2 linked regions of the Ovis aries genome follow. Each later gene encodes a partner of the first gene's protein in a complex. Links are inferred from orthologs where the notes say so. Each region holds a gene or a part of one and is shown on either strand. Other genes may lie near its edges. The genes, in order: PLOD3 and COLGALT1.

Region 1 (15,481 bases):
TGAGGGCGGGCGAGGGAGTGGGGACCGGCCCTGGGACACTGGGGAGTCTGGGAGTCAGCGCATCCTCTCCCCCTGCCAGGATTCATCGGCTTCGCCCCCACCATCCACCAAATCGTCCGCCAGTGGAAGTACAAAGATGACGATGACGATCAGCTCTTCTACACTCGGCTCTACCTGGACCCAGGACTGAGGGTAGGGAGAGGCCGAGAAGGGCCCCCATCCCCGCAGCTCTGGGGGGTGGCAGGCCCTAAGGAAAGGAGTCAAGAGGCTTTCAGAAAGACACAGAGAGGAAAGAGTGGGAAGAGATGTCTCAGCTCCTCTTTAATTCACTGCCCCTACCTCATCCCATCCAGGAGAAACTCGGCCTTAGTCTGGATCATAAATCGCGGATATTTCAGAACCTCAACGGGGCTTTAGGTGAGGAGACAGCAATGAGAAAAGGGACGATGAGAGAGGCTGTTAGGGATCCTGAATGTGGGCGGGGCTCCTGGTAGATCAGGGGTGAACTTCAGCTCACCTCTGTGTTAACTTCAGCAAAAGTCTGAATGGCCCACAGAATAAGGTGCACTCTGCTACCAGGAATAGCAGCAGCCCCTGTTGTACACGTCCATTGCTACGTGCCAGGCTCTGGGTCAGGGTTTTCCTTCTTGAATTTCATTGAACATAACAATCCTATGAAAGGCGGTCTGTGATTACCCACTGGTTACATATGGGGAAACCACCTCCCTGCGGGGCCAGAGACTTCCCCGGGGGGCACAGGTAGTAAGTGATGGGGCTCCCCAGGTGGCAGCAGCCTGGCCAGTGCCCTCAGAGAGAGACGTTATCCCATCCCTGCCCCATGGACCACGGTCCTTCATCCTCTAGAACACCTGGGTACCCCCACCACCACCACCTCCACTGTATTTAGAAGCACCTGCTGATTGGCAGTTTCTAGAGTAAGGGAGTCTAAAGCCTGGACTTTCTTCCCCAGATGAGGTGGTTTTAAAGTTTGGTCGGAATCGAGTGCGTATCCGGAATGTGGCCTACGACACGCTTCCTGTTGTAGTCCATGGGAACGGTCCCACGAAGGTGCTCCAATCGCTTCTCCCCTCAGCCCAGCCCCTGCCCCAGTCAGTCCTGATCCCACAGCCCCCCAGTTTCCTCCAGGCCTTCCGAGCCGTGAGACCTCCCCGGCCCCGGAAGCGCAGGAGCTGGAAGAGGTTCTCTGTGCCCACGCTCCCCCTGCCCTTCTCCGGTCCCTGCCCCCACCTCCCTCACCCCTGGCCCCACCTCAGCTTCTCACCGCCTCTCCCAACAGCTCCAGCTGAATTACCTGGGAAACTACGTCCCCAACGGCTGGACTCCTGAAGGAGGCTGTGGCTTCTGTAACCAGGACCGGAGGCCACTCCCGGGGGGGCAGGTGAGGAGGGGGTGCCAGGGTGGGTGGGAGAGTGCTCTGAAGCAGAGGGTACCAGGAGGGTGCTGGGCAGTAGGGGTGGAGGCAAAGCCCCTGGAGATCCCCCCGCCTCCCCACCCTCCACTAAACTTGGCAGGGTGCGGAGGACAAACTGGGTAGGGGAGCTGGGCTTTCCTCTGAGACCTGTCACATTGTTGAATCTTCCAGCCTCCCCCCCGGGTACTTCTGGCTGTGTTTGTGGAACAACCTACCCCGTTCCTGCCCCGCTTCCTCCAGCGGCTGCTGCTCCTGGACTACCCCCCCGACAGGGTCACGCTCTTCCTGCACAACAACGTGAGACACCCCGACTGCCAGCCTCTCCCTCCCAAGGGACCTCCCCACCCCTGCTGCCCAGATCAGACTTCTCCCCACAGCCCAGACTCCTTCCTGTAGCCTTTCCTCCTGCAGGAAGTGTTCCTCCCGCCCCGTCCTGTCCCTTAGATGCCACCTTTCTGCCCTCCCGGCGTCCCCACTCTAGTCTCTTCTCCCCGCACCTCCAGGAGGTGTACCACGAGCCCCACATCGATGACTCCTGGCCCCAGCTCCAGGACCACTTCTCTGCTGTGAAGCTGGTGGGGCCCGAGGAAGCCCTGACCCCAGGAGAGGCCAGGGACATGGCCATGTGAGTGAGCCTCGGGCGGGGCGCCTGCACCGTTCCCTCCCTTCCCCTGCTCCCCACGGTCTTTTTTTCCTCCCTCCTGACTTCCAGCTGGTCAGCTTCCTTCTACTCCCTTTCCCTCCTCTCTCTTCCACGGGTTGCGGGTCAGGGGAGTTCCACCCCCTACCCAGCCCCCGCCCCCCCCCCCACCTGCTCCTGTTCATCTGTGTTTTGGTCTGTTCCCTCCAGGGACATCTGCCGGCAGGACCCCAAGTGTGAATTCTACTTCAGCCTGGACGCTGACACCGTCATCACCAACCCGCAGACCCTGCGCATCCTCATTGAAGCAAACAGGTCTCTCTCACCGGGCTTGGCCAGAGGGCCCCCAGATTAGTCCCCAGGGAACCTCACCTCCCGCTCTGGCCATGGGGCTTGCCTCCTCCCTGCCCTCATCTGCGCTTGTCCACAGGAAGGTCATAGCGCCTATGCTGTCTCGCCATGGGAAGCTGTGGTCTAACTTCTGGGGGGCCCTGAGCCCCGACGAGTACTACGCGCGCTCGGAGGACTACGTGGAGCTGGTGCAGAGGAAGCGAGTGTGAGTCTTGCAGCCTCCCCCAACCCAGGAGCCCTCCCAGACCCCTCCATCCTGCCCCAAAGGCCCGAACTCGGGGGCCCCATGTGGCCACCACGAAGGCGTGCTGGGTTGTGGGGTAGCTAAGGACTGATGGTGGAGCCGGGTGTGAGAGGGTTGTGACCAGCAGGGCTTCCCTGGGGAAGCAAGAGGGACCTCGCAGCTCTCAGCTGCCGAGGGAAGGGGCTCCAGGGGTGAACTGGGCAGGACGGTGGGGGGGGGCAGGGGGCCGCCCGCAGGGGGCACCCACCTAGCTGACCCCTGTGTGGGCCTCCAGGGGCGTGTGGAACGTGCCCTACATATCCCAGGCCTACGTGATCCGTGGGGAGACCCTGAGGATGGAGCTACCCCAGCGGGAGGTGTTCTCGGGCAGCGACACCGACCCAGACATGGCCTTCTGTAAGAGCCTTCGGGACAAGGTGAGGGGGCCTGGGGCTCCTGGTGGGGGCGCTGGGGGGCAGCACGCTGGCTCCCCATCGCCCTCCTTACACCCTCTGCCCACTGCCAGGGCATCTTCCTCCACCTCAGCAATCAGCATGAATTTGGCCGCCTCCTGGCCACCTCCCGGTATGACACGGACCACCTGCACCCTGACCTCTGGCAGATCTTTGACAACCCCCTGGTGAGTCGGCAGCCCCTGGCTCAGATGGTTCGGGCCTTCCCTGAAGGGGAATGCCACGCCCCGGCCCCATCACACGCGCGTGCGCACTGGGCAGGGTCGCCTGCCGCCTGGGCAGGGGTCCTCCCAGGTGGGAGCAAGTGGTGTGAAGAGGGCAAAGGTCAAGGAGCACCCCCCCACTCTCCCCTAGGACTGGAAGGAGCAGTATATTCACGAGAACTACAGTCGGGCCCTGGAAGGGGAGGGGCTCGTGGAACAGGTGAGCCCCGCTCAGGACCCCGGCCCAAGGGGATGGCCGCTGCCCCTGGGGCCCACCACCTGGATGAGGGGTTCTCCCAGGGTCCTTGCCCAGGTGCCTGGGGGTTTTCTGCTCAGGCAAGACAAAGGCAAGGGCTGAGTTGATAGGCATGCAGCCCCCAGCCCAACATTCATCCCAGTGGTCCTCCCTTGTCCGTTGGGTGTGTTGGTGTATGGGTGAAATGACATTTTTTAAAACGAGGTTGAAAACCACTGTCCCAGAACCCAGGGCTCCAGCAACCGTGCTGTCTGTGCCGAGTTCTGAGCACTGCTCTCACCTTCTCTGGCCGCATCGGTCCCCTTCCTGACTCCCCCGACCAGCCCATCCCCACGCTCAGCTGCCCGTCCCTCCACGTTCTCTCCTGTCCTGGCTTACCTTTCTGCTCCCTGCTTTCTGTCTCCTCCCACTGGCTGCCTGTCCCCTTCTGGAGCATCACCCAGCCCTGTTTTCTTCTTCCCCTGCCCCGTCCTGACTCAGCCCTGCCCAGACGTGTACTGGTTTCCTCTCCTGTCTGAGCAAATGTGCGATGAGCTGGTGGAGGAAATGGAACACTACGGCCAGTGGTCAGGAGGCCGGCATGAGGTGAGGGGCCTGGACCGCGGAGGAGGGGGCCCCCAGGAGGAGGGAGGGGGCATTTCCCTGATTGAGGGAAAATGGAATCTGGAGAGTGGGAACAGAGAGGGGGTCCCCGAGCAGGAAAAGGCAGACAGGGGGCACCTCTGTATTCTTTCATTCCACCGTGCATTCAAGAAATACTCCCTGGGCAGGTCCTTAGACACCAGCCCCTGACCTGGACGTGCAGGTGGAGCTCTGCCCTCCACAGCCCCACCTGCCGTCAGTAGCAGCAGGGAGCTAGCTTCTGAAGTCTGTGATGGACAGCCTCAGTGCTGCGGGAGTCACAGGTGGGAAACTTGACCCAGATGCGGGGGGACCGAGGGCTTCACAGAAGAGGTGACATCTTCGCTGAGACTTAGAGGAAGGAGGTGTGAGTCAGCTAAGACGTGGCGGAGACTTCCAGAAGGAGGGAGCGCAGACTTCCAAGGCCTGGGAGCAAGAGGAGGAGAAGTTGGCACCACTGCGTCAGCTCTGTACCCACAGGACTCTAGGCTGGCGGGAGGCTACGAGAACGTGCCCACTGTGGACATCCACATGAAACAGGTGGGCTACGAGGACCAGTGGCTACAGCTCCTGAGGACGTATGTGGGACCCATGACCGAGAGCCTGTTCCCCGGCTACCACACCAAGGTGGGCCACTGCACGCCACCCCTGCTCCCTCCTCCGCCTTCCCACACCTGTGCTGGCTGGACGGCTCCACACAATGCCTTTTGGCCTGTGAAACATTTAAATAGGCCCCATAGAGTGAGATCCGGGCTCCCCTGGTGGCTCAGATGGTAAAGAAGCCGCTTGTGATGCAGGAGACCTGGGTGGATCCCTGGGTCGGGTGGATCCCTGGGTCGGGAAGATCCCCTGGAGGCGAGCACGGCAGCCCACTCCAGTGTTCTTGTCTGGAGAATCCCATGGACAGAGGAGCCTGGCAGGCTGCAGTCCATGGGGTCGCAAAGAGTCAAACACACAGAGTGAGACCTTGCAGGAGGGAAGCTCTGGGGGAGCAGCCCCCAGGGAGCAGTGAGAACCCTCCCGGCCATCCCCCCAGCCTCTCCTCCCCTGTGCCCGCAGACCCGGGCGGTGATGAACTTCGTGGTCCGCTACCGACCGGATGAGCAGCCCTCTCTGCGGCCGCATCACGACTCATCCACCTTCACCCTCAATGTCGCCCTCAACCACAAGGGCCTGGATTATGAGGTGAGTCCCTACCCTCCACTCAGGGTTCCCCCGGGCCCCTCCACACACACAGACACACACGCACTCCCCTCCCCCAGGCCCTGTGTCCAGCCCCCTCACAGGCACGGTCACCTCCCTGCCCCTTGTCTGCCCTCGTCACATCTCCCAGTGACCTCTGGGGTCATATTCTGGACCCCTTCTGGGCTGGCTACCCCCTGTGTCCTGTGTCCCCCATCTGCCGATGCTCACCCCTCTTGTCCCCTCCCTCCCTGATGCCCAGTTTGGCCTCTCTCGCCTCGGGGCAGCTCACCACCCAGTCCCCACGTCTGCGCACTCTCCAGCCCCTTCCCCTCTCGTCTCTCCAGGGAGGTGGATGCCGCTTCCTGCGCTACGACTGTGTGATCTCGTCCCCCAGGAAGGGCTGGGGGCTCCTGCACCCGGGCCGTCTCACCCACTACCATGAGGGGCTGCCCACCACTCGGGGCACCCGCTACATCATGGTGTCCTTTGTCGACCCCTGACACTCAGCCACTCTGCCCAGCCTTCCGTGCCATCGTGCCTTCCCGCGCCCTGCCTCCTGGGGCGGGGTGGGTGTGGACTCCTCGCCTCCTGGGTATATGGGGTCTGTGTGCCTGGGACTGAATGTGTCGCCTCGCTGCCCACCACACGGCCCTCAGGAAGCTCAGGGAGCCCCCTGTCCTGTTCCCCGGTCCCCAAGGGCTCATGGGGACAGGACCTCTGGGGGTTCGCTACATGATAAATTATTGTTTCTCAGTCTCCCTCTCAATAAAGGAGGGTTTGTAATTCTTGAGCCCATTTATTGTTTCATTACCTGTGGACCCCTTGTCCATCCCACCACCCAGGGCAGAGGGGACACCGAGGGTGACCCCAAAGGAGAACTGAAAAGGAGAAATGACAGAAACGTGATATTAGAGCAGAGTGGGAATCTAGAAGCTTCCTTGTCATTCCAGAGCTCGGGAGGGGTGTGTTGGAGGCCAGACCCAGAGAAGGACTTCCCCTGTCAGGATGAGATGAGAGGCCCCCACTCCCGCACAGCCCCCAAACTGTCGTCCCCTATTCTCTCCTCACCTGATGGCATCTTCTCCCATGCAGAAAGGATGAGAGAGGCACAGCCCTGAGCTAGGGTCCAGGGATAGTGCTGGGACACGCATTGTAGGAGGGAAGACAGGGTGGAAACTTATTGAGAGCGCTTGGACCTCAGCTTTTAGTCACATGGTATCAGGAGAGGGGAATCTGGAGGGTGAACCCAAGAAAGCTTCCTGGAAGAAGGGGAAGGGAAGCAGCCTTGAAAAAAAAAAAAAGACCTCCTAGAGCTGGTTTTGCCTCTAGTCTCAAGCATCAAAAGCTTGCAGAGACCCCTGGAGGTACCCTGAGGACAGCAGAGCAGGCCCCTTTAGCCTGGTCCTCCCCAGCCTTACACCAGCTGCCTTCCTGTGTTGATCTCCCAATGTTCCCTGGCGGACGCCTTTTAAAAATCAAGCACCTGTCCTAGGACATTTCCAGCTTCTAACAGTCCACTTGCATCCACAGCTAAATTGTCCTTCCTTCCTCCTACCCAGATTCCCAGGAAAACTTCATGCATGAAACCATCCTTCCATCCTTCCTGGACCCCTGGGTGGGTCACCTTCCCACGTGGACTGAGCGTCTCTCTGGCTAGACTCTAAAGTTCATCTCACCCAGGCCCCCACCACCCTCATCACTTGCCCTGTGATGCGAGTGGGCTGAGCAGGGATAGGAGGAAATATCCCTCTTAACAGAAGGTCCCTGGTCAGTGAAGCTGCATAGGTGTGAGGCCAAGGACAGGGGCAGAAAGGGTGTGTCAGCCTAAGCCTATCCTGTCTCCACCCTTCATTCACAGAGCGTCTCCCATGCGCTGGGCACCCATCTTGACGGCTGCAGTGATGAGCACAATTTTTCTGTTGCTCACGGTGTGTGGGAGACTTTGATCAGAAAATTGCCATGATGGGAGACTTGCCTGGTGGTCCAGTGGTTAAGACTTTGCCTTCCAATGCAGTGGGTGTGGCTTTGATCCCGGACTGGGGAGCTAGGATCCCACATGCCTTATGGTCAAAAAAGCAGAATGTAAACAATAAAAGCAACATTGTAACAAATTCAATGAGGACCGTAAAAATGGTCCACGTTAAAAATCATGGTGATGGAGAGAAAGTATTCTGTGCCAGGAGAGAATGTGATGCGTGACAGAGGCTTCTGACAGTTGCGTGTCAGACTTCCGTAAAAGAAGTGACATTTAACGTGGCTCAGGACTTCCCTGGTGGTCCAGTAGTTAAGAATCCACCTTACAATGCAGGGGATGCTGGTTCGATCCCTGGTCGGAGAACTAAGATCCCACATGCCACAGAGAAACTAAGCCCATGCAGCTCAACCCCTGGCTCCTCTGGACGGGGAACTCTTGTGCCAGAACTATAGAGTCTGTGTGCTGGAATGAAAGGTCCTGCTTAACACAGCCAAATGAATAAATTAAAAGATAAAGAAGTGACATTCAAAAAAAAAAAAAAAAAGACATGTCCTACCAGTGAGGAGGGTCAAGATGTAGGGGTGGGGAAATCAGCATCATCATAAAATACTGAGTTTAAGATGGGCTCAAGGATGTTTGTCCAAGATGGGAAATAGCGCCAACATGTTGTAGGAACTAGAAACGAGAAGTGACCTTTAGGGACTTCCTTGGCCAGTCAGTGGCTACGACTCCCTCTCCCCAGTGCAGGGGGTCAGGGTTCAATCCCTGGTTGGGGACCTAAGATCTCACAGGCTGCACTGTGTGGCCAAGAATTTTTTAAAAGAAAAGTAATCTTTAAAAATTGTATCAAAATGTTTTAAAAAGATTTTTAAAGTGACATTCTAGGAATTCCTTGTAGGTCCAGTGGTTAGGACTGCCCTCTTATGGCCAAGGGCCCAGATTCAATCCCTGGTCACAAGGCAAGGCGCAGACAAAAAAAATAATTAATTTAAAAAGGTGTCAGTCCCTGACCTGGAAAAAGTGGTTGCTCTGCAGCCTCTAGCCATGTTGAACAGGGCCATAGTCACAGTGAGGACTGGCCCGGCCGGCATGGATGGAGTGCTCACAGCCCAGGGGGCTCGCACTTGCAGGGGCTCCCCAACCCTTAGCCTTTCCCATAAAACCCTTCCCTCCAGAGGTCTCCCCACAGAGGCCTAAGTTGCTCCTCAGGGAGTAAATCCTCCTGCAGGTCCTCTAACCAACAGGGGCCAGGCCTGGGTGACAAATGGGGAGTCCTGCTGTGGAGGGTACACACACACACGGCAACTTCCACTGGCCCAGGACGCTGCCAGTGTGCTCATCACAGGGAGCCAGTCCTGACCTCCACAAAGTCCAAACACCTTCCTCACCGCCAGACTCCAAGCCATGTCCCTGGTCTCCCCTTTCGGCCCTATTGATCCCAACCCTGTGAACCCAAAGAGCTGGTTAACCCTCCCTTTCCAGAGCTCATGATGGTCCACTGTGCAGGTCAGCAGAGGGAGCAGAAAAGAGGGCAGAGCCCAGGTCAGGGGTCAGAGCCAGGGGTTGGGCCAGAAGACAGAAAGCTTCAGAGCCGCAGTGGCTCCTGTGTGACTCCCCTCTACAGAAGGCCAGCCGCCTCCACCGGCCTCCAGGTGAGTGCCCTCCTGCGATGGATCGTCTCCGTTTTGGAGCTTGGTGAGTCCCTGAAGCCCTAAGGACCCCTGGGTCTGGCTCTCTGTTTCCCGATGCCAAGGTGGGAGGGAGGCGAGGCTGGGATCTCTTGCCAGGGCTGGGGGGGTTCCTTCAAGAGATGAGAAAGATGTAGGTTGGACAGATGTACCTGAAACGATGGAACAGGGAAGGGGGTTAAGGGGAGAGCTTGGACTTAAACCTCTGGAGTCAGAGTCCTCACACCCCTTCCCATCACCTCCAGCCCAGGAGTGCATGACTGCCTTATTCCTTGTACTCCTGAGCCAGGCTTGGATCCTAGAATTCACTACCTGGATGGGCTCTATGGAGACAGAAATACACCTTGGGCAGGAGGCCGTGGCTGTGCCTGGGTCCCCAACTGGGCCACGTGGAGACATTTCTGGGACCACCTCCCCATCTCGCTGAGGCACTGTGGAGCTCTGTGCTGGGTGGGAGCTGGGCTTCAGGGTAGACCCTGGTCCCAGGGTAGACCTCTGGGGCCGTCACCCCCAAAGTCCAAACTTAGAAGCCCCAAACTGGTGTGCACCCTGTGTCCGCAGCTGGAGGCACCACAGTGTTGGGTCCCTCCTACAACTACCTCTTGGTGGAACCTTCAGCACCTTCAGCACACAGACCAACGGCTTCTCCCTCCTCATCCCTGGCCTCGAGCCCCACCTGCTCCAGCTGCCCCATCCCGGCCATCTTCCTGTCTTCCGGGACTACATCCTGTGTGCTGGTGAGCAGGGGAGCCCTGGGTCTCAGGACCCCCAGTCCCTGCGGTCACCTCCTCCCTGCCCTCCTTAGCCTCTGGGGGTGCCTGGTCCCAGCTGCATCTCCCAGTGCCTTCCTCCCTCTTTTCAGGAGGACTCAGATGTCAGTCTTCAGGCCTCTAACTGCACTGAGAGGTGAAGGTCCATGTTTGGGACCTGAAATTCTGGCAGCCAGCCTTGTCCCCAGGCTGGTCCTTGACACTTGGGCCGACCGTGAACTCTGTCCCAGTTGATCCTGGGGGCCGGGAAGAGGAGTTGCAGCAGCCACCTCTCTGGCCTCTCTCCGCCCAAGCTGGGTCCCCAACCCCAGTGCAGCGAACCCCGAGGCTCACCCCTGCGCTGGTGGATGGCTGAGTGTGGCCTCTCTGCAGCGGCTCTCCCAGCTTTCCAAGCGCACAGGACACGCTATGGCGTCCCCAGCCACATGCACCTCCTCCTCAGCTAGGCAGCCCCCAGCCCGCAGTGGTTCTGTTGTAGGAAAGGGGACCCCTTCCAGGGCCCGAAACTGGGCTCTTGTCTAACACTCAGAAATGAATTGTCTGAGGAGACACATCTGCTGACAAAGCAAGAGATTTTATTGGGAAAGGGCACCCGGGTGGAGAGCAGGAGGGTAAGGGAACCCAGGAGAACAGCTCTGCCACATGGCTTACAGTCTCGGGTTTTATGGTGATGGGATTAGTTTCTGGGTTGTCCTTAGCCAATCATTCTGACTCAGAGCCCTTCCTGGTGGTGTACACCTTATTCAGCCAAGATGGATGCCAGAGAGAAGATTTTCTGGGAGGTGGTCGGACATGTGGTGTCTCCTTTTGACCTTTCCTGAACTCTTCCGGTTGGTGGTAGCTAATTAGTTCCGTGTTCCTCAGCAGGACCTCCTGTCATAAAACAACTCATGCAAATAGTTACTATGGTGCCTGGCCAGGGTGGGTGGTTTCAGTCAGTGTGCTTCCCCTAACAGTTCCCTCGGTGGATGTCATGGGGACTGAAATTAAAGGTGGAAACCACCTGTGCTGTTTGTGCTTGGCTGGAATATCGACACGCCTGGCTGCACCTCCCAGTGGCCTAGACACTGTCGAAGACCCACAGACACACCAGGATCCGCTGGCCACACTAGAGATCACAGAGTCCCTAAAGCACCTGGGGGTGGGCCTTGGTGTCACGCCCCCAACTCCTCCCGCTGACTCCAGTGTGCTCTGCGAAGTGAAGGTTCCTTTTGGGGGCCTGAAATCCTGGCTGCCCTATCACAACAATAGCAGCCCTGGACTCTGTCCTGATTGACCTGCTGTGCTGGTGGGTTTGATGCTGAGAAAGATTGAGGGCGGGAAGAGAAGGAGTCGACAGAGGATGAGACGGTTGGATGGCATCACTGACTGGATGGACAGGACGAGTCTGAGCAAGCTCCGGGAGCTGGTGATGGACAGGGAGGCCTGATGTGCTGCAGTCTATGGGGTCACGAAGGGTCGGACACGACTCAGCGGCCGAACGGAACTGGCTGGTGGGTTTGTGCGCAGCATGGATATCCGCGTGCCTGGCTGCACCCCACAGTGGCCTAGACACTCCCGGAGACCTGCAAACAGAAATGGGGCGAGAGCCCAGGATCTGCTAGCCATTCTGGAGATCACATGGTCTCGGCTGAGACCCAGTCTGTGGGCTCTCTGGCTTCTTCTGTGACCCCTCCCCCACAAGATTCCTAATGCACCTGGAGGGGAACCTGGGTGTCAGGCCCTAACCCACCGCTCAGCCTCGCCCAGTGATCACACAAACCCACCCACTGGAGAAGTTTCAAGATCAGTTGTCAGGAGCCTGGAGACCTGTGGAGCTCCAGATTCAAAGGTCTCCACTTGCACAGTCTCCTGTGAGCAATCGCAGAAGGCCTCAGGGACTTAGCCACTCAGACTGGAAAGGTTACCCAAGCTCCTATCAAAGCCTCCATCCTTTGTCCCCCTGGTCCAGGAGCCCTGCTGGCAGAAGGGCTGCACCTGAAAGTCTCCACCGCCCTGATGCCTTCCCGCAGCCAGAAAACCCTGCAGAAACTGGCTGGAAGTAGTGAGCACCTGCCAATACATGCTCACTTTCCTCTTCATGGGTGAGCAGGGCAGTGCCCAGGGTACACTAGGGAAAAGGGGAGCCTAAGAATGGGGAGGGGAAGGAGAGCCGCACCTGTGTGGAGGCCCAAGACAAAGGGAGGGGGAGAGGTCCAGCTGGGAGATGGGTGGCGTTCTCACTGGTGAGAGTGGAGGGGAGAGAAGTCATTGTGGTTTTAAAAGCTAATTGATTTTTCTTTCTCATTTGTACCCAGGCCCTTTCTTTTCCTTTCTTGCCTTCTTCCTCCTCTTTACCTCCCTCTGGTGGCTCTCTGTTCTCTACTCCGTATGGTTATTCCTGGACCGGGACACACGCCGCCAAGGTGAGCGCTTAAACAAGGGTGCGGGGAGAAGAGGTGATAAAGGGTGTCTCCAGGAATTCCTCCACCCCGCCCTTATCGCTCTGCCCCAGACGGAAGGCGTTTTGAGTGGATGAGGAACCGGACAGTTTGGAAACACTTAAGGGATTATTTTCCCATTAAGGTAACAGGTCACCCTCCACCTTCTGCTTCTTCTCTGTCCCTTATCTGCCCCTCCCCAGGCTGAGTCTGAGCCCTGGCTGCCTAAGTTCAGGCAACAGGTCAGGCAATGGGATGGTGATCCAGAGGGCAGCCCTTGTGCCCTTGACACCCTAGTAGGACCTTGAACTCTCACGTCTGTTGGTGGGAAGAGAGGTCTTTTCAGCTGGTATCTTGCCTTCTCTGCTTTCTTCCCCTCATTCTGCCCACCCCCCTCCCACAGTTGGTGAAAATGGCAGAGCTGCCCCCAGACCACAATTAGCTGCTGGTCACTCACCCACATGTGCTTTGGACACTTCTGTAACTTCGCGACTGAGAGCGCGGCAGGCTTCAGCCCTAGACCACCGGGCTGAACAACCTCTTCTACCTTCCAGTCTATCGAGACTACTTTTTGTCATATGGTAAGTCTTGTCCCTGGTGGCTCAGACAGTAAAGCGTCTGCCTATGATGTGGGAGACCTGGGTTCAATCCCTTGGTCTGGAAGATCTCCTGGAGAAGGAAATGGCAACCCACTCCAGTATTCTTACCTGGGAATCCCATGGACAGAGGAACCTGATGGGCTACAGTCCATGGGGTCGCAAGAGTCAGACACGACTGACCGACTTCACTTTTCTTTCAAGTCTTGACCTGAGGCGAAGGAGGGGTCCCCCCACTCCTGCCAGAGTGGCCCACCACCCAGCCCCGGGACCTGACTTGAACATTGGCCAGGCTTACAGTGGGAGTCAGTGACTGGTCTGGGAGCGAGCATTCCACATCCTTGCTGGGAGAGGTGCTGTGGGGCACACGGACAGAGGCACGGGGATATGGAGCTTGGAAGGAAAGAGGTGGAGAGCTCATACTTCCTGTGCTAAAGGGCAGAGTGAGGGATTAGGGAGCCAAGTAGCGGGTACTGACTGTCCCTGCACCCCGTCTTGTCCACAGGAGTATGTTCTGTGAACCACCAGAGCCTGGATTTTACTCTGTCCACTCCCAGCTCGGCCAGGCTGTGGTCATCGTGATCGGCAGAGCCCACGAGGCCCTGTATGCCATCCCAGGGGAGCACTGCCTCACTCTCCGGAATCGTAAAGGCTTCGTCCGCCTGGCACTGAGGCACAGGTGAGTGGGGGCCCAGCCAGGGCTGCCTTCAAAGGTCAGAACCTCACAATGTCTCTGGGGATCTGCACTCTATCCCTACACACCGGTCCCCTGGAGGTGGGCTGTGTGTCCCCAGAGCCTCCACCGTGACCACATCTAGGCAGACCTTGGGTGTTTCCTCTGTGCCTAGCCCTGGTGCCCCTTCCCCAGGCTTCCTCCCACACAGAGAGACAGGATCACAGTACAAACTGCTGGACCTTGGGACTCAGACACCCTGGGTTCACAATCTTTTACGACACCGTCTCACAGACAAGAACTTGCACACTTCTTTTTTTTTAAATCCATCTATTATTTATGTGTTCATTTTGGCTGCGCTGGGTCTTCATTGCTGTGTGGGCTTTCTCCAGTTACAGTGACTGGGGTCTAGTCTCCAGCTGTGGTACGCGGGCATCTCTGTGGTGGCTTCCCCTGTTGCAGATCACAGGCCCTAGGCGCACCGGCTCAGTTGAGTACACTGACTTCATGCCCTACCGGATGTGGGCCCTTCGGGGACCAGCGATCAAACCCATCCCCTGCATTGGCAGGTGGATTCTTAGCCGCTGGACAACCAGGGAGGGCCCCACTCTTCTTTACTTGTGATACAGGGTTAACACCCACGTTTCTGCCATATGGTGGTTGGTAACTGTGTGGAAAAATGTATAGAGGACAGCCCAGTACACACTCGTTTCTCAAGAAACATAAGTCCCTTCTCCCAGAGAGTTCTTTGTAGCCACTGTCATTTGCTTCAAACGGTCTTGGGAAGTGGTATCTTGTGGGGGAGAATGTGGGGGCACTCCTAGACCCCTGATCTGACTAGCCGTCTTCTCTCTTGCACACACACACCCCCCCCCCCCCCCCCCCCCACAACCAAGAGCCTCCCTGGTGCCTGTGTACTCCTTTGCGGAGAATGACATCTTCAGAGTTAAGGGTTTTGCCCCAGACTCCTGGCAGCATCTGTTCCAGATCACCTTCAAGAAGCTCGAGGGCATTTCTCCTTGCATCTTCTGGGGCCGCGGTCTCTTCTCAAACAAGTCCTGGGGCCTGGTGCCCTTGGCCAGACCCATCACCACTGTGGGTAAGCGCCCGTGTCCAGGGGAGAAGGCCAATGAGAGCTGCATAGGCATCCGAGGCCGCTCCCCTGACCTGTGTTCCCCTGTCCCTGCAGTGGGCCGCCCCATCCCGGTGCCCCAGTGCCCGCAGCCCCCCGAGGAACAGGTGGACCGCTATCACGTGCTCTACATGAAGGCTGTGGAGCAACTGTTGGAGGAGCACAGGAGAGCTGCGGCCTCCCGGCTTCTACTCGCCTCACCTTCGCCCTGGCCTCACCCGTCCCCACCTCCTGGCCCTCCCAGCCCCTGATCCCAGTGCCCGAGCCGCCCACCGGCTGCCATGCTACTGTGCCAATAAGAGCCAGTTCTCTCACCACTGCTTCGTAGAGTCTCTCTGGGCGTGAGCCTGCCCACGTGGGTTCCATCTCCACCTGATCGAGACAGACTCGCTGCCTGAGACTGACAGCAGGGCCCTGAATTCTGCCCCCAGAGACTGAATTCTCTCTCGGCTTCCACCTAATCTCTTCCCTTGGCTGGGCCTTTCTCCTTCTAAATAAAGGCATCTGCTTAGCTAAGAGTTATAGGGCCTAGAATGGTATTGGGGAAGGTAGATCCCTGAAGAACTATTCTCTGAAGTGTGGACAGGATTAGGTGGGTGCAGACAGTAAGGTAGGTGGTGAAATACTGTCAACAAAAGCTGACATGGATCAAGAGTACCTCTCGGAAGGGAGAGTTGGAATGAGCCTTCGTGATAGGAAAGAAAGAGTTAAGTACACAGCTTCCTTTTGCCTCTGCTCCCATCCTTCCTGTTGCCTCGGGGCTGGGAGCTCACGTGATGCAGGGGTTTATTTTACCATATGAAGCCCTACTGCAAGCCCAGCATTAGGTCCACCTGACCTCAT
Region 2 (15,571 bases), on another chromosome or scaffold:
GCATAGATACCCATTATGGCCCAAGGCCTGAAATAAACAAAGACATTTCCAAGGTCTTCAACTACCCAGCAGCAGAGAGCAAAGGCCAGACCTCTCTGTGGTCAAGTTTAATCCTTCACCCTATGATAGGTCTATCAATGTTACAAATTTTTTTTTTTTTTGGTTAATTTGACTGTGTCTGGAGTTAGTTGCAGCCTCTGGGATTTTCCACTGTAGCTCACGGGCCCATGTGCCAGCTTAGTTGCCCAGAGCATGTGGGATCTTAGTTTCCCAACTAGGGATTGAACCTGCATCCCTTGCACAGGAAGGCGGATTCTTAGCTACTGGATGACGGGGAAAGTCCCAAGGGGTGTTGCATTTTTATATCACTGTGACATAGCTGCATTGCCTTGCTCTTTCTGGACCTTAATATGCTCCATTTCCCCAGAACTGATACTCCACTTCCCACAGGCAGATCCTTCCCACATGTACACCCCAAGGGGAGCAGGCAGAGACTGAGAAAGAGAGGGAGAGTAATTTGCAGCCGGATTCTCAGATCCCTAAGCCTTGCCCTTTTGGGTCCCAGGGTCCCCTGAGGATGGCAGCAGGTGGCAGGGAGCTGTGATGGGTCCCGAATAGGAAGAAGCCCCAGGGTGCAGTGTCCCTAGAGGAAGAGGCCCAGGCTTCGAGGTGGGAGGCTCCGGGTGGACTCTGGGCCTCACCCAGGCCTCTCCTAGACAGAGGGGCCTGTGTCTGCCCTGCTAGCTCACACGGGGCCTTTGTTCTTGGGGAGGTGGATGCCACGCTCACTGGCATGCTGGGCTTTTCTGGGCCTCAGCAGGCTCATAGTCCCCTGTGAATCTATTCCTTCTATGGGAAACCATCAGGGAAGGGCCAAGACAGGGCTCTGGGGATGTGGTCTGAGCACTGCCCACAGCAGCTAAAAGGGGAGCGCTCATGACCACCCTGAAATTCTTAGCATACCTGGGCTTGTAGACACCACTCCAGTCACACGGCCGCCAGCTCCCTGTGTGTCCTCACCCCGTCTACCCTCCGTGGGGGTCTCTGTGTCCAGATTTCCCATTTTTATAAGGACCCCAATCATACTGATTACATGCCAAGTGTATATGTGCTAGTGGCTCAGTTGTGTCTGACACTTTGTGACCCCATGGACTGCAGCTCTGTTCAGGGGATTCTCCAGGCAAGAATACTGGAGTGGGTAGCCATTCCCTTCCCCGGGGGATCTTCCTGACCTAAGGATCGAACCTGGGTCTCCTGCATTGCAGGCAGATTCTTTACCGTCTGGGCTACAGGGAAAGCCCATATTGATTAGAGCCCACCACCCTAATGACCTCATTAAAGATCCTATTTGTAAACAAAGTCACCTTCTGAGGTACTGGGGATCAAGATGCCAGTGTACCTTTTGGGGGGAGGACACAGTTTAACCCAAAATAACATGTGATTTCATGGCATCGCCTCATGATAGAAACCTCGAGAGGTTTTTTAGTCCATTTTCAAGATTGAGGGAAGGAGGAGAAGGGGGCGACAGAGGATGAGATGGTTGGATGGCATCCCCAACTCAATAGGCATGAGTTTGAGCAAACTCTGGGAGGTAGTGAAGGACAGGGAAGCCTGGCGTGCTGCAGTTCATGGGGTCGCAAAGAGTCGGACACAACTGAGCGACTGGACAACACAGATGAGGAATGTCATTCCTTTGCTTGATTTATGAGTTTGTGCCAAGCTCCTTGTTGGGTGCCAGGGAGCCAATGTGAGTGGGTGGACCTGGGGTCCGTCTGGTGGAGCTCACGGGAGATAATCAGAGAATTGGGACTTAAGGCAGCCGAATGAGGCTTTGACGGAAAGCTGGGTGCTGTGAGGGCCTCCAGAGAGGTACCTGACTCAGCCTGGGGAGGTCAGGAGACTGCTGTTGGTGCATCGCCCCCCTCCCCAAGACATCTTAGCTGATAACTCAGGGAAAGGAAGTGAGGAAGGAACAGGGTTTCAGCGAGGCCCAGCATGTGCAAAGGTCCAGAGGTAGGACTACGGGATGGATAAGTCTGGAGCAGTGCCAACAGCCAGAGTGTGTAAGAGGCAGAGGAGAGAGACTGGCACTGCTTCTGTGGGTGGGGCAGGGTCAGGCAGGGTCTCTAGCATCAGGCTGAGGAGCCTGGGGTGACACCGAGCCATGCAGAGGTTGGGGAGGGGGCATCAGGAGCGAGGCTGGAGCCCTCCGTCTCCATGACCCCCTGCTGACCCCTCGGCTTTGCTGCCCCCCAGTGAAGCACCCACCCTCGGAGCCCTCGCGGTTCATCTCAGTGCCCACCAAGACGCCAGACAAGATGGGCTTTGACGAGGTAGGCTGGGCCTTCCCTCAGGGTGGGGGCCGGGGGCCGGGGTCCAGCCCGGGTCCAACAGAGGCTGTGGGCCGCAGGTCTTCATGATCAACCTGAAGCGGCGGCAGGACCGGCGGGAACGCATGCTGCGGGCCCTGGAAGAGCAGGAGATAGCGTGCCGGCTGGTGGAGGCTGTGGACGGCAAGTGAGTTGAACCGTGCTGGGGGAGGAGCGGCGCCACGGGTGGGTATAGACCACCCTGATGGCCCCGCGGCGGGGGCGTGGGTCTGACGCTGGCCAGGTGCTCAGACCTGCGCATGGGTATAGACCACACCCAGGCAGGCCACATCCGGTCCGGGATGGGTTGGGGGAGGGTGGGGAAGGGAGGCTCACTAACTGGTGGGATTGTGGATAAATACAGTCTTCCTCTGCCTCCCACCCCTCCCCACTTGCAGAGCCATGAACACCAGCCAGGTGGAGGCTCTGGGCATCCAGATGCTGCCGGGCTACCGGGACCCCTACCACGGGCGGCCCCTCACCAAGGGCGAACTGGGCTGCTTCCTCAGCCACCACAACATCTGGAAGGAGGTACCTCTGGCAGAGGGGCGGGACCCTCCTCAGCCTTTTTTTTTTTTTAATGTTATGTATTATGATTTTTATTTATTTGGTTGCCTCCGGTCCTAACTGCAGCACTCAGAATCTTCCCTTCACACAGGGGCTTTTCGTCGCAGCTAGGGGATTCTCCAGTTGTGGCTCTCGGAGTCTCTAGTTGTGGCTCACAGGCTTAGTTGTCCCACGGCATGCTGTATCTTAGTTCCCCTACCAGGGATCAAACCCGTGTCCCCTGCGTTGGAAGGCAGATTCTTAACCACTGGACCACCAGGGAAGTCCCCTCCTTGGGCTTCTTAACAGCTCAGGAAGGGAATCCCCTGCACCCCAGGCAGGCTTCCAAAAACACTGCAGGACACTCAGCCTCTCTGCTTGGGTGAATATGGCACCTGGTGGGGCAGCTGCCATCTTCCCACTGTGCAGATGTGAGTCCTGAATCTGAGGAAGAGTGAGCCTGACTGTAGAAACAGGTGGGGTCTGAGGCCCGGGACCTCCAAGTGAAGCTTCTTCATACCCAGCCACTGTCAAGAATCTAGAGCCTGGGCACCATGCTCAGAGCTTACTAATAGGAGCACCAGCCACAGTGATGTTAACTAGTGCACAGCCCACACATTGGTGTCCCATCAGCCACAGAGGCTCATCAGACACCCTGGGAGGGAAAGGGTATGATGGGCGAGGATGCCAGATGGGGCTTCGAACCTGGAACCATCCAACTTGAGGCCACATTTGGTGTTTGAGGCAGTGCATTCTCACCCAGGTTGCTCTATTTTTCTGACATTCATCATGGAAGGTATGGGGCAAAGGTTGCGGTGTCCAGGAAGCTGTGGAGCCAGAGGGGATCCAGGTTCAAGTACAGCCCTGCCTCTGAGCGGGGTGAGCTTTGTGAGCAAGGAAGGCATTTCCCAATCTGAGCCTCATTTTCCCAGATGAAGAAGAGAGTCTTCAGCCATGAAGACTAGCAAGTTCATTCATTCAGGGAAGATTTGTCAAGTACCGACTGCGTGCCCAGCCTGGTGCTGGGCCAGGGGACACGACAGCCCCCAAGGCACACCCAGCCCCCCACAGGGGATTCACAGCCCTAGGAGCTGGGGAGACTGATGCTAAACCACAGAGAAATGACTAATGTTGAAATAAGTGAGAGGCACCTACAGGAGAGGTCCAGGGTTATGAATCGTCCTAAACTAGCAGTTTTGGGTGATAGTCATGAAGGATCTCTTTAGTTGACGTTGGAACTGAGGCCAGCAGGGTGAGAGGGATCCTGCCTGCTGCTGCATGGGAGAAGGGTGCTCTGTATCAAAGGCACAGGGCAGGCCCAGGCCCTGGGGTGGGAAGGGGCAGCCAGGCTGAGGCTGTGGAATCTGCTTCCAAGTTGTAAGGAGGTTTTGGCCAAGAGGTAGATCTGAACTTGTGGTGGTGTGTGTGTGCGTATTTTGCTTTTTTCCTGGTGCCCCAGACCTCTTAAGCAGAACTAGCTTTGGGGTCAGGCCCAGGCTTGATCTCTCCAAGATCTCAGCGGGGCCTCCTCCCTCAGGTTGTGGACCGCGGGCTGCAGAAATCCCTCGTGTTTGAGGATGACCTACGCTTCGAGATCTTCTTCAAGAGGCGACTGATGAACCTTATGCGGGATGTGGAGCGGGAGGGTCTGGACTGGGACCTCATGTGAGTCGGGCCTGGGTGGGGCCGGAACTTGGAGGTGTGGCCTGGAGACTAGCTCTGAGGGCCTTTGCAGGGTAATAGGTTGGGTTTTGTGGGAGGTTGGCAGGAGGACTCATACTTGACCTGGAAGTCGGGGGTCCTGGAAGCCTGCCAGCTCTTTCGGGGCCTGGAGACTTGCCTGGGGCCTTCCTCTTAGCCAGTGTGGCTGAGATTTGACTTGGAAGCCTGTGGGTGTGGCTAAAGAACTTGGGGGTGTGGCCTGGGTGGGTGTGGTCAAGGCTTGGAAGCAGGGCGGAGCCTTTGGTGCCGAGTGTGGGGGGTGGCCCAGGGAGCCTGGATCTTAGACCACTTCTAAGTGGAGGGTGGCCAACGTATTTCCAGAACAGTCTCATGTAGGTGGGTTGGTTCATCCCTCCCCTGTGCAGAGCCCTGATCCGGGTTCTGAGCCTCAGACTCACCAGCGTGTCATTAAAATGAGCAGTAATGGGTCCCCTTCACTCCTGACCGCTTTACCTGAACCCTCCACCTTGCCCACCCGTCCCACTGCCCTCTGAACCCAGAGCAGCTTCCTTCTCAGTCGCACTCTGCTCCTTGTGGGCCCTAGACATCTGTGGACCTGTTCTCACCCAGTCCAGTCACACCAGCCTCCGCAGTGCTCCCCAGTTCCCCCACCCCAGGGTCTGACAGCGGCTCAGTGGCTCCCTGGGTTAGCATTCTTGGGCAGGTAGACAGGCGGAGGGTGAGAGAGCCCCCATTCTGCACCCCAGCTACGTGGGCCGGAAGCGGATGCAGGTGGAGCACCCCGAGAAGGCTGTGCCCCGCGTGAGGAACCTGGTGGAGGCCGACTACTCGTACTGGACCCTGGCCTACGTGATCTCCCTGCAAGGCGCCCGCAAGCTGCTGGCTGCCCGGCCGCTCTCCAAAATGCTGCCCGTGGACGAGTTCTTGCCAGTCATGTTCGACAAGCACCCAGTGTGAGCGGGGGCGGCAGTGGGCAAGGGGAGCTGGGGTCTCGCTGTGCAGCTGGCCTGGTTAGGGGGTGTGAGGCTCGCGGGCCCCAGGAGGGGGCTTCTCCTCTGCCTTCTTCCTCTGCCGCTTCCTTCATGAGTCCCCTTCGCCACGCGCTTCTGTCTCCATCTGTCTCTGACCCCCACCCCGCTCCTCCCCTGCAGGTCTGAATACAAGGTCCACTTCTCCCCTCGGGACCTGCGCGCCTTCTCCGTGGAGCCCCTGCTCATCTACCCCACGCACTACACAGGGGATGACGGGTACGTGAGCGACACGGAGACCTCAGTCGTGTGGAACAACGAGCACGTCAAGACCGACTGGGACCGCGCCAAGTCCCAGAAGATGCGGGAACAGCAGGCCCTGAGCCGCGAGGCCAAGAACTCCGACGTGCTCCAGTCCCCGCTGGACAGTGCCGCCCGGGATGAGCTCTGAGAGCTCTGAGGGGCAGTGGCCGTGAAGCCAAAGCAGTGGTCGCTGGCCCGGCCCCCACACGCCCACCGGGGACCTGTGGCCCCTGGCAGGCCCCGGAGGGCTCCCCTCACTGGGCGGCGTCCAGCCGGCTCTTGCTCAGCAATCACGTGCACGCAGGCAGCATTAATGGAGTGCCTACTGTATGCCAGGCGGCCTGGGTGGGAACTGTTCATCTCTGGGTGCACCCAAACTTGGATTGGTTGCAGGGTGCCAGGTTCCCTTGCTGATGGAGTCAGTCATCAAGCGTTATAGATCCCCCATCAAGAATCAGGCCCTAGTGATACACATTCACTGTTTCAATTCCTGCGAGTATTTATTGAGTGCCTGCTGTATGTAAGGCACCATCCCAGGCTCTGGGACAAGTGAGGCATACTTTCATTTGTTTGAGCACATACTGAACACCAACTCTGTGCCCGGTACTTGTGACACAAAAGTTCTTACCGACTCAGTGCATTTATGGAGTGCCTGCTGTGTGCCGGGAGCTGAGCATGGTGCTAGGGCGGAAGATAATCAAGGTGCTTTTCACTCTAATTGGTTTCTTCTCCACACATCCAGAGAACATCTCCTGCGCTAGTGAAGCAGGAAACCGGACAACAGCTGTTCAGTCAGCATTCGAGCCCCCACAGAGGTGGGCGAGTCCTTCCATTTCTTCATGCAGCGAGCACTTACTGCGTGCCTGCTGTGTGCCTGACCTCGCGGACTCCCGGTGGGGCTGACTGAGTTTGATTCCTCTTCTGCACCACCCCCGTCACCTGAAATGTGTGTGCATAACATCCCCCCACCACTGCCCAGGAGCAGGGGTGACTTCCCTCAGCAGGGAGAGCCACGAGTTTCAGTGACCCCACGCCCTCATGCAAGGCTCCCCTAGACCCAGCCCCCCTGGAGGGGGCGAGGATCCCCCTGTCCTCGGTTGCTTGGCCGCCCTGCCCTGCATCTCAGGTGTGGTCTACCTGCTTGATGGCATTCTTTTGTCCAAGCCTCTGGTGGGATCATGTGTTTGGGGCCTCGGACGGGCTCCGCTGCACTGGGGCGCTATCCATGGCCCGGGCAGGAAGTCCCCCAGCACAGCCTGGAGGACTCACCGTGCCTTCAAGCCTGAAATGAATGTCAGAACCGGCCAGCGGTGCCTCGTCCTCTGAGGGGTAACTAACTGTTGTCCCGGTCGGGTTCTGGATAACTTGCTTATTTTTTTATTAAATGTTCCTGGTTGGGTTTTCACATACATCTGTGTTCCCTTCTTGGCCCGATGGTCTGCTCATCACCTACACACCACCCACACTCCCCACCCCCTGCTTCAGGCCAAGACATGGGAGGAGACCAGGTGCTGGCGGGGAGCCAGTGAGGCGGGTGAGGGCGGAATGAGAGCCTGGTGCCCCAAGCGCCCTGTGGAACTTATCCAGCATAGTGCAGGGACGACAGACGGCCAGCCGCACTCTACCCTCTAGGGTCAGCTACAGGACTGTCTCAGAGGACAGAATGAGGAGGGCGCGGTCATAGTTTGGAGTCTCAAAAAAATAGACCCTGAGATGAGGACTTGAGTTATCCAAGAGATGACCCCCAGATGGCCCCCAGGGTGACGCAAAGAAGAGCGGGAAGGAGTCCTGCAGGGGTCGCCAGTGGGCCATTCAGTTCAGTTCAGTCGCTCAGTTGTGTCCGACACTGCGACAGTGAGCCATTAACTACAGTAACTGGGGACCTTAGATGGGGCTGAGCAATATATAGCATCGACCTTAGAGTGGTCCCAGCCCCCAGATGAGGGAGGTGGGGCATTTATCCACCCTCAACAACATGTACATTTTCTGGGTCAAATACTTAAACGTTTTCAAGATTCTTAAGCCCTTAGGGCTTGGAGGCATATACCGGAGGCTTTTACAAAATAACAGATGGTGTGTGATTCTAGTGAAGAAATGAGAATTTACAGCTAAGCAAACTGAAAAAAGGCAAAATTAAATCATACCTCCTCAGAGACAACAACTTAACGTTCTGGTGACAAAACTTTCCAGTCTTACCCATGTGCATGGTGCAAATATATACATGTTTTGAAAAAGAAGTTTCATATTACATAAACTCTGTTACAGCCGGCTTGTATTTTCTCCCACACATTTTTATTTCAGAAACACAGGATCAAATTGTACCCTGGTTTTTTTTTTTTTTTTTTTTCACCCGCAGCAAGGTTCTTTATAACTTTAACAGCATATTGTGGACATTCTAATCAGCACAGGCACCTACCAGCTCTTTTTGGATTGTTACATACAATAAAAAATACCATAATCAGGATGGACCACCATTTACTCAATCATCCTGACCGAAGAATATCACAGTCCGGCAGTGAACGGCATTGTACAACACATCTTTCCTACTGGATTTTTTATTTCGGTTGGGTAAATTGATACAGATGAGATTGCTGGGTTAACAGAAATGAACGCTTGATGTTTCAGTAGAGACTACCATATTTACTCTTGTTAAATCCTAACTATTCATCTTTGTCTACCAGGGTGTCCAGTCCCCTCTCATCAGACACTGGAATCATTTCTCATGCATTACTGTTGCGAGTGATGGTTCCATATCTTAACTCTAAGCGGTTAAATTAGGATTTTAAAATTTGGTGGGTCACTATTGGGTTGTGTCTCTCCAGGATATCTGGTGATGTCTGGAGACATTTCTGGTTGTCATGACTGGGGGTGGGTGCTATTGGCATCGGGTGGACAGAAATTAACCATGCAGTGCATGGAGAAGGTCCATAACAGAGAATGATTGGGCCTTAAAAGTCCACAGTCACACCCAGTTCCATTCAGCCTCCTGAAGACATGAGCCTCTAGAAGAGACTTCTTCATGGCGTGAGTAAAATTTCCTTCGCTATGAAATGTCTCTGATTCAAATGTAGATTCTTAGGCTCTGTTTCCAAACTGAAGAGGTCAGAATCTTGGAGGTGATGCCTAGGAACCAGAGTTTTATTTAAAGGGCAGCAGAGGGTGAGATGGTTAGATAGCATCACCGACTGTGAATCGGGAAATTCTGGGAGATAGCGAAGGACAGGGAAGCCTGGCATGCTACAGTCCATGGGTTGCAAAGAGTCGGACATGACTTAGCCACTGAACAACAGCAACAGTCCAGTTGTCTATGGGGCATTCCAGGTGGCACAGTAGTAAAAAAAAAAAAAAAAAAACCCCACCTGCCAATGCAGGAGACGCAAGAGACTCAGGTTTGATCCTGGGTTGGGAAGATCCTGCTGGAGAAGGGAATAGCAACCCGCTCCGATATTCTTGCTTGGGAAATCCCATGAACAGAGGAGCCTGGCAGGCTATAGTCCATGGGGTCGCAAACAGTCGAACAAAACTGGGTGACTGCGCACACACGTGGGTATCTTGTTATCTAACTTGGATCTCTCCTTTGCTCTCTGAAACTGGGAGAACCACATCCTTCTAGAACATTCCAATAGAACTGGCTTACCAGGGGGAACTGAGGCTCCCCACCCTCACAGAAGGGGCAGTTGGGAGATTCTAGGAAGCTCCAACTTGGGGCACATACCTTGTATCTGTCTCCATCAGAACTGCCTTTCTTTTATTGTTGTTCTGAGTTTTGGCCATGTCGTGTGGCATACAAGATCCTTAGTTCCCCGACCAGGGATCAAACCTGTGCCTCTGCATGCAACCATGGAGTCTTAAGCCCTGGACTGGCAGGGAAGGCCCACAACTGCTTTTCACTGAACAAGGGAATTTGAATTCCAAAATATCAGATGTTTCCATGCCCCACTGCCGGCAGTGTGAAGTGAAAGCAAAACCAAGACATCTCCGATTGCTTCTGCCTTCCAACCCTCCACTCCCGCCCGAGGGCTCCTGTGGCCTGTGGACCTGAGCGCAGACACTGATGCAGGGACTTCTCGCAGTGTGGCTGCAGCTCTGCAGCCTCTTCCCAGAAAGGAGTTGGGTGGGGGCGGGTGCTGATGTCAGCCCAGCACTCCCTCTCATTTAGTGACTGTCCATTGTGATGGTGGGAAGAATGACTATGTAATTACAGACTGCATAATCATAGAAACTGTTCTGTGTAATTGCAGGATTAGGAACTGAATAATTATAATGCAGTGTAACAAATTACGGAATGAAATGTAATCTCTCGTAGACATCACAGTCATGTTACACCCTCCAGGGACTGAGTATGCATTTTGCTGACTTTCTCTGAGAGAGCCTGCTGTGTTGGCAGGTGTCATGACGAAGAGGTGTGGGGAGACAGTGGGGTTACGTAGTTTAAGGGGGAGCCGAGGGTTCAGGTGAGAGTGGAGGGTGGGGTGAGTATAAGGAAGGTGGTGATAGAGTTTAGCCTAAGGTTGGGAGAAGTGAGAAGAACCAGGAGGGGAAGTTGAAGAAAAACGGATTAAGTCCTGTACCATCCTCGTGGTCCAGTAGCTAAGACTCTGAGGTCCTAATCCAGGGGGCCTGTGTTCCCATCCCTGGTCAGGGAACTATATCCCACACGTTGCAACTGAGAGTTTGAATGCCACAACTAAAAAGCCCACATGCCTCAACTAAGACCCAACTCAGCCAAATAAATAAAAAATAAATATTTTTTTTAAAAATGGATTAAGTCAGGGGTTGGCAAACTATGGCCTGAGGGCCAAATCTGGCCAGCCATGTTTCATCGTTGTTGTTTTTTTTTTTAAACTGGGACTTCCCTGGTTGTCCAGTGGTTAAGAATCTGCCTTGTAGTACAGGGGACTCAGGTTCGATCCCTGGTCAGGGAACTAAGATCCCACATGCCCTGGGGATGCTACTGAACCTTTGAGCCACAGCAAGTGGCGCCAGAGGTAAAGAATCTGCCTGCCAATGCAGGAGACACGAGATATGGTCTTGATCCCTGGGTTGGGAAGATTCCTCTGGAGGAGGAAATAGCAACCCAATCCAGTATTCTTGACTGGAAAATCCCCAGTATGGTAATTCTGTTTAATTTTTTGAGGACCTCTCATCCAATGCTCCATAGTGGCTACACTAAAAAAAAATATTTTAAAGCGTTTATTTATTTATCAGGTCCCAGTTGGGTGGAGGAGCCTGGTGGGCTGTAGTCCGTGGGGTCGCTAAGAGTCGGACACGACTGAGCAACTTGACTTTCACTTTTCACTTTCATGCATTGGAGAAGGAAATGGCAACCCACTCCAGTGTTCTTGCCTGGAGAATCCCAGGGACGGGGGAGCCTGGTGGGCTGCCGTCTGTGGGGTCGCACAGAGTCAGACACGACTGAAGCAACTTAGCAGCAGCAGCAGCAGCAGGCAGGATCCTTGTTGCAGAGTCAGTAGTTGTGGCACACAGGGTTCATTGCCCCATGGCATGTGGGATCTTAGTTCCCCAACCAGGGACCAAATGACTGTCTCCTACATTGGAAGGTGGATTCTCAACCACTGGACCACGAGGGAAGTCCGCGTTTCCTTCTTTCCCTCCCCATTTCTTTTTAAAAATTTACTTATTTTATTTTTGGCTGTGCTGAGTCTTCCTTGCTTCGAGGGCTTTTTTCCCAGTTGCCGTGAGCGGGAGCTCCTCTCTAGCTGCGGTGTGCGGGCTTCTCATTGTGGTGGCCTCTCCTGTTGCAGAGCGCAGGTTCCGGGCCCGAGGGCTTCAGTAGTCGCAGTACACAGGCTCAGTAGTTGTGGCTCACAGGCTTAGTTACTCTGCAGCATGTGGGAGCTCCTGAGATGAGGGATCCAACCTGTATCTCCTGCACTGGCAGGCAGATTCTTTACCACTGAGCCAGCAGGGAAGCCCCCGATTTCTTTTTTAAAAATTATTTACTGTTCATTTTGGTGAAACTCACATAATATCAAAGTAACCAATGAAAGTGTACAATTTAATGCCATTTGATACATTCGCCAAGTTATGCGAACATTTTCATCACCCCAGTGGAAACCCAGTACTCTTGAGCAGGCACTCCCCAATGTCCCCTCCCTGCAGCCCCTGGCAATCTGCTTTCTGTCTCCTCCTCTGGACATTTCATATGAATGGAATCATATCTGTGCAGTCTCTTCCGTCTTATTTCTTTCATCACCATGCTTTTTAGGGTCATCCACATTGTTCATGCATCAGTGCTTCTTTCCTTTTTAAAGCCAAGTAACACTCCACCGGATGGATGGACTGCACTTCATCCACTCATCTGTTGATGGACACCTGGGGTTGTTTCCAGCCCCTGACCAGTGTGAGCAGTGCTCCCCTGAACTAGAGCAGCTTGTTTTTCCGAGCAAAGTTCTATCGTCACTGAACCCTGCCATCATTCACATGTGGCTGCTTTCATGCTACAGTGGCAAAGTTGAAGAGTGGTGTCAGAAACGGTGTGGCCTAAGATATGTACTAGTTGACTCTTTACAGAAAAAAATTTGTTGACTCCTGAGTGAATGAGTTTGGGAGCTGGGTCACCTGGGAGAAACTGCTAGGTTTTTTTTTTTTTTACTCAATATGTATTTTTTATTGTTGGTGACAACGTGTTAATTTCTGCTGTACAGCAAAGTGATTCAATTATACATATATATGTATATTCTTTTTTAAAAATATCCTTTGCACGATGGTTTATCGTGTTATATGTGTGTTAGTTGCTCAGTCGTGTCCATGTGACCCCATGGACTGTAGCCTGCCAGGCTTCTCTGAGAAAGAGGTTTCCCAGGCAAGAATACTGAGTAGATTGCTATTTCCTGCTCCAGGGGAACGTCCCACATCCAAGGACTGAACCCTGGTCCCCCACACTGCTGCAGATTCTTTACCATCTGAGCCACCAGGGATGCTCTTATGGTTTATCATAGGATATTGAATATAGTTCTCTGTGCTTGTAGAAACTTCTGGTTTTGCCCCAGTAACATTCTTAACTATAACTATGGTTGAGAAAATGGCCGCAAAGAGCACACTTCCCAGCATCCTTTGCAACTAGGTACACGCCAGAGGGAGGTTCTGGTCGGAGGACTCCTAATGGAAGCAATGGTCACAGCCTCTTGGTCTTGCCTGAAGGGATGACATTTGACCTCCTCAGGCCTTCCCCCTTTACCACCAGCTGGAGCAGACATCTTGGACCCTGAGGGAGAAGAAGCAAGATGAAAAGATGGTTCTGCATGGCCATATCAGCCCTGGTAATATAATATAATTGTTATGCTCCGAGCCCATATCTCCGAACCGACGGAGAGAGCAAGTCCACCACAGTAATGCAAAAACAAGAAGGGAGTTTATCTCTAGCGTGCTAGGGCTCAAGTCTCATCCCACACAAGGGAATCCGACAAGAGCAGCGAACAAAGGAGTATGGCGGCTTATATACAGGCAGTTCTTTGTCTCAGTTACAGGAGTAGCTGGCGTTACATGATTGGCCAGGCAGGATGAGCGCATATCCTGTCTCTTTCTGGTAAACATGACTCAGGTCCTAGAGACCGTCGTTTGGTCCCTAACATTCCCCCCTGTCCTTAGATCATATAGAGGAATCTTCCTCTCGGTCCTGAGACACAGTTTGATATTGTTGTTGAAGCACAAACAGCTGTACGGTATTTATGCGTTCCTTCACAAAGGCTACAGGTCTATTGATAATGCATGGGCCAAAGGTAAGCATTAGTAAAATACTAGCAGGGGTCCCAGCAAGGTGGAGATTAAGGTAGTCAGCCAAGGGGATTGTTGAAACCAAGATTCAAACCATCCCTGTTGAGCCTCACGTTCTCGTTTACATTGGGCTAGTCCTTCTCTCACTTTGGCCATAGATTGTCTAACTATTCCTGTATGATCCACATAGAAACAGCACTCTTCTCCTAGCGCAGCACAGAGTCCCCCTTGTTGCAGAAAGAGCAGATCTAATCCCCTCCTGTTTGCTTTTTTCTGGATTGAACCTTATTCTGATTTGTGCATAATTGCAACTTTCACAGCTAAAAGTTGGATCTCCAAGGACCCTAGGGAGGGGCTTGGCAAATGAAAAATTAAGTAAATCTCGATTTTTTACTTCCCAGGGCCGAGGTCCATCATTAGAAGTAACACAATCCCAAGTTTTACAATAAGAGTCTTGTGCCCCCCCACAGAACCCTTGTTCTCAGAGATAACCCCTAGCCCAAGGCACATTTACCATCGGCTTAAGGTCAAAGTATAAGTCTGGCCACCATGTGTTTGGTGGATGTATTGCGGTAGTGGAGTTTAGCACCTCTCGTGTTAGTCCGTTTTGCAGCTTCCAGGTGATTTTGACGGGTTGATGCAGGTTCACGCTGGCAACTCCAGAGCAGAGTAACTGGGTCATCTACAAGAGGGCCCAGCCGAGTTGTCCTGGTCCTTTTGGCGCCTTCGAAGCTTTAGCCTCAAGGGGTTGGACGGGTGCAGAGATGCTTTCCATTCTTTTTTAGCGTCTTCTTGCTCTGCTGAAGCAGCTGGGCGTACGTGGTTGCAATGCACCCAAGGCCCGATACTGTCAACCTTTAGGGCAGTTGGGGTGGTAAGAAGAACAACATAAGGACCCTTCCATTTGGGTTCTAGTGCCTTGGTTTGGTGTCTTTTGACCCACACCCAGTCTCCTGGGCCAATGTCATGTGAGGGAATAGTTCCCTTATTTTGACCCACATGTATTTCCCGGAGCAGTTTCCAGACACAAGAGTGCACCTTGCTTAAGGCCATCAAGGCCTCTTGGAGTTGCCCCAACGTGGGAGGCGGCAGTTTTTTCCCTTCAAATATTGGACATACAGGGGGAGGTCTCCCATACAGAATCTCAAATGGGGTCAGATTAAGTTGATAAGGAGTATTACGCACACGGAAGAGGGTGAAGGGAAGGAGGGTCACCCAGTCCCCGCCAGTCTCTATAGCCAATTTAGTTAAAGTTCCTTTTAGAGTCCGATTTATTTTTTCTACTTGCCCTGAGCTCTGTGGACTGTATTCACAATGTAACTTCCATTTGGTCCCCAGGGCTAGGGCAAGGCTCTGAACTATTTGACTCACAAAGGCAGGTCCATTATCAGAGCCGATGGTCACTGGCAGGCCAAACCTGGGAACTATTTCTTCTAAAATCTTTTTTGCCACTATCATCGCGGTTTTTCCCATTGTAGGAAAAATTCTACCCACCCTGAGAAGGTATCCACCAACACTAACAAGTACCGGTAACCATACTTGCCTGGCCTTACCTCGGTGAAATCTATTTCCCAGTGTTGCCCTGGTCCTTTTCCCCGATACCTCAGTCCTGCATGTTGTCCTTTTCCTGGCCTCATCTGTTGACACGCCTTACAAGCATGCACTATGTTCTTTACAGTTGTCTGGTGCCGGGGAAATCGCAGGCGCGCAGTTTGAAAGAGCATCAGAGTCTTCTTTTCTCCCAGATGAGTAGACAAGTGCAAATGCTCACATAGTTGCTGTCCCAACTGAGCAGGGAGTATCAAGTAGCCGTCTGAGTCTCGGTACCATCCATCTTTATCTTTTTGAAGGTTGGTGTGTTTTGGATCTAAGCAAAGTCTGTGGATGAATACTCAGGGGTTGGGGGCAAAGTTCCCATACCTGGAGGTGGAAGTCCGATCGCCAACACAGGGGTGATGAAATCTT

Evidence for each region.
Region 2: the proteins of PLOD3 (region 1) and COLGALT1 are in contact, whole or in part, in a cryo-EM structure (PDB 8ZGE), measured with the Homo sapiens proteins. The link is inferred for Ovis aries from reciprocal best matches to the Homo sapiens genes PLOD3 and COLGALT1. Residues at the interface, in NP_001075.1 of Homo sapiens: Leu226, Val229, Val230, Leu231, Lys232, Phe233, Asp234, Arg235, Arg241, Gln261, Tyr264, Leu265, Pro275, Gly430, Ala431, Leu432, Arg440, Glu442, Glu446, Arg452; in NP_078932.2 of Homo sapiens: Ala36, Tyr37, Phe38, Pro39, Glu40, Glu41, Arg42, Trp43.

Annotation. Positions count from the first base shown.
Region 1 is NC_056077.1:35,918,431-35,933,911, forward strand, and holds the end of PLOD3 (multifunctional procollagen lysine hydroxylase and glycosyltransferase LH3), read left to right. Parts: intron 1-79; coding exon 80-192; intron 193-353; coding exon 354-417; intron 418-970; coding exon 971-1,068; intron 1,069-1,297; coding exon 1,298-1,399; intron 1,400-1,603; coding exon 1,604-1,729; intron 1,730-1,935; coding exon 1,936-2,057; intron 2,058-2,282; coding exon 2,283-2,387; intron 2,388-2,502; coding exon 2,503-2,628; intron 2,629-2,941; coding exon 2,942-3,083; intron 3,084-3,172; coding exon 3,173-3,286; intron 3,287-3,473; coding exon 3,474-3,542; intron 3,543-4,058; coding exon 4,059-4,163; intron 4,164-4,679; coding exon 4,680-4,826; intron 4,827-5,258; coding exon 5,259-5,384; intron 5,385-5,728; coding exon 5,729-5,884; 3' UTR 5,885-6,174; downstream 6,175-15,481. UniProt on the Homo sapiens protein: Multifunctional enzyme that catalyzes a series of essential post-translational modifications on Lys residues in procollagen. Plays a redundant role in catalyzing the formation of hydroxylysine residues in -Xaa-Lys-Gly- sequences in collagens.
Region 2 is NC_056058.1:5,309,546-5,325,116, reverse strand, and holds the end of COLGALT1 (procollagen galactosyltransferase 1), read left to right. Parts: intron 1-2,256; coding exon 2,257-2,333; intron 2,334-2,410; coding exon 2,411-2,517; intron 2,518-2,767; coding exon 2,768-2,900; intron 2,901-4,452; coding exon 4,453-4,580; intron 4,581-5,344; coding exon 5,345-5,551; intron 5,552-5,749; coding exon 5,750-6,017; 3' UTR 6,018-7,278; downstream 7,279-15,571. UniProt on the Homo sapiens protein: Beta-galactosyltransferase that transfers beta-galactose to hydroxylysine residues of type I collagen. By acting on collagen glycosylation, facilitates the formation of collagen triple helix. Also involved in the biosynthesis of collagen type IV.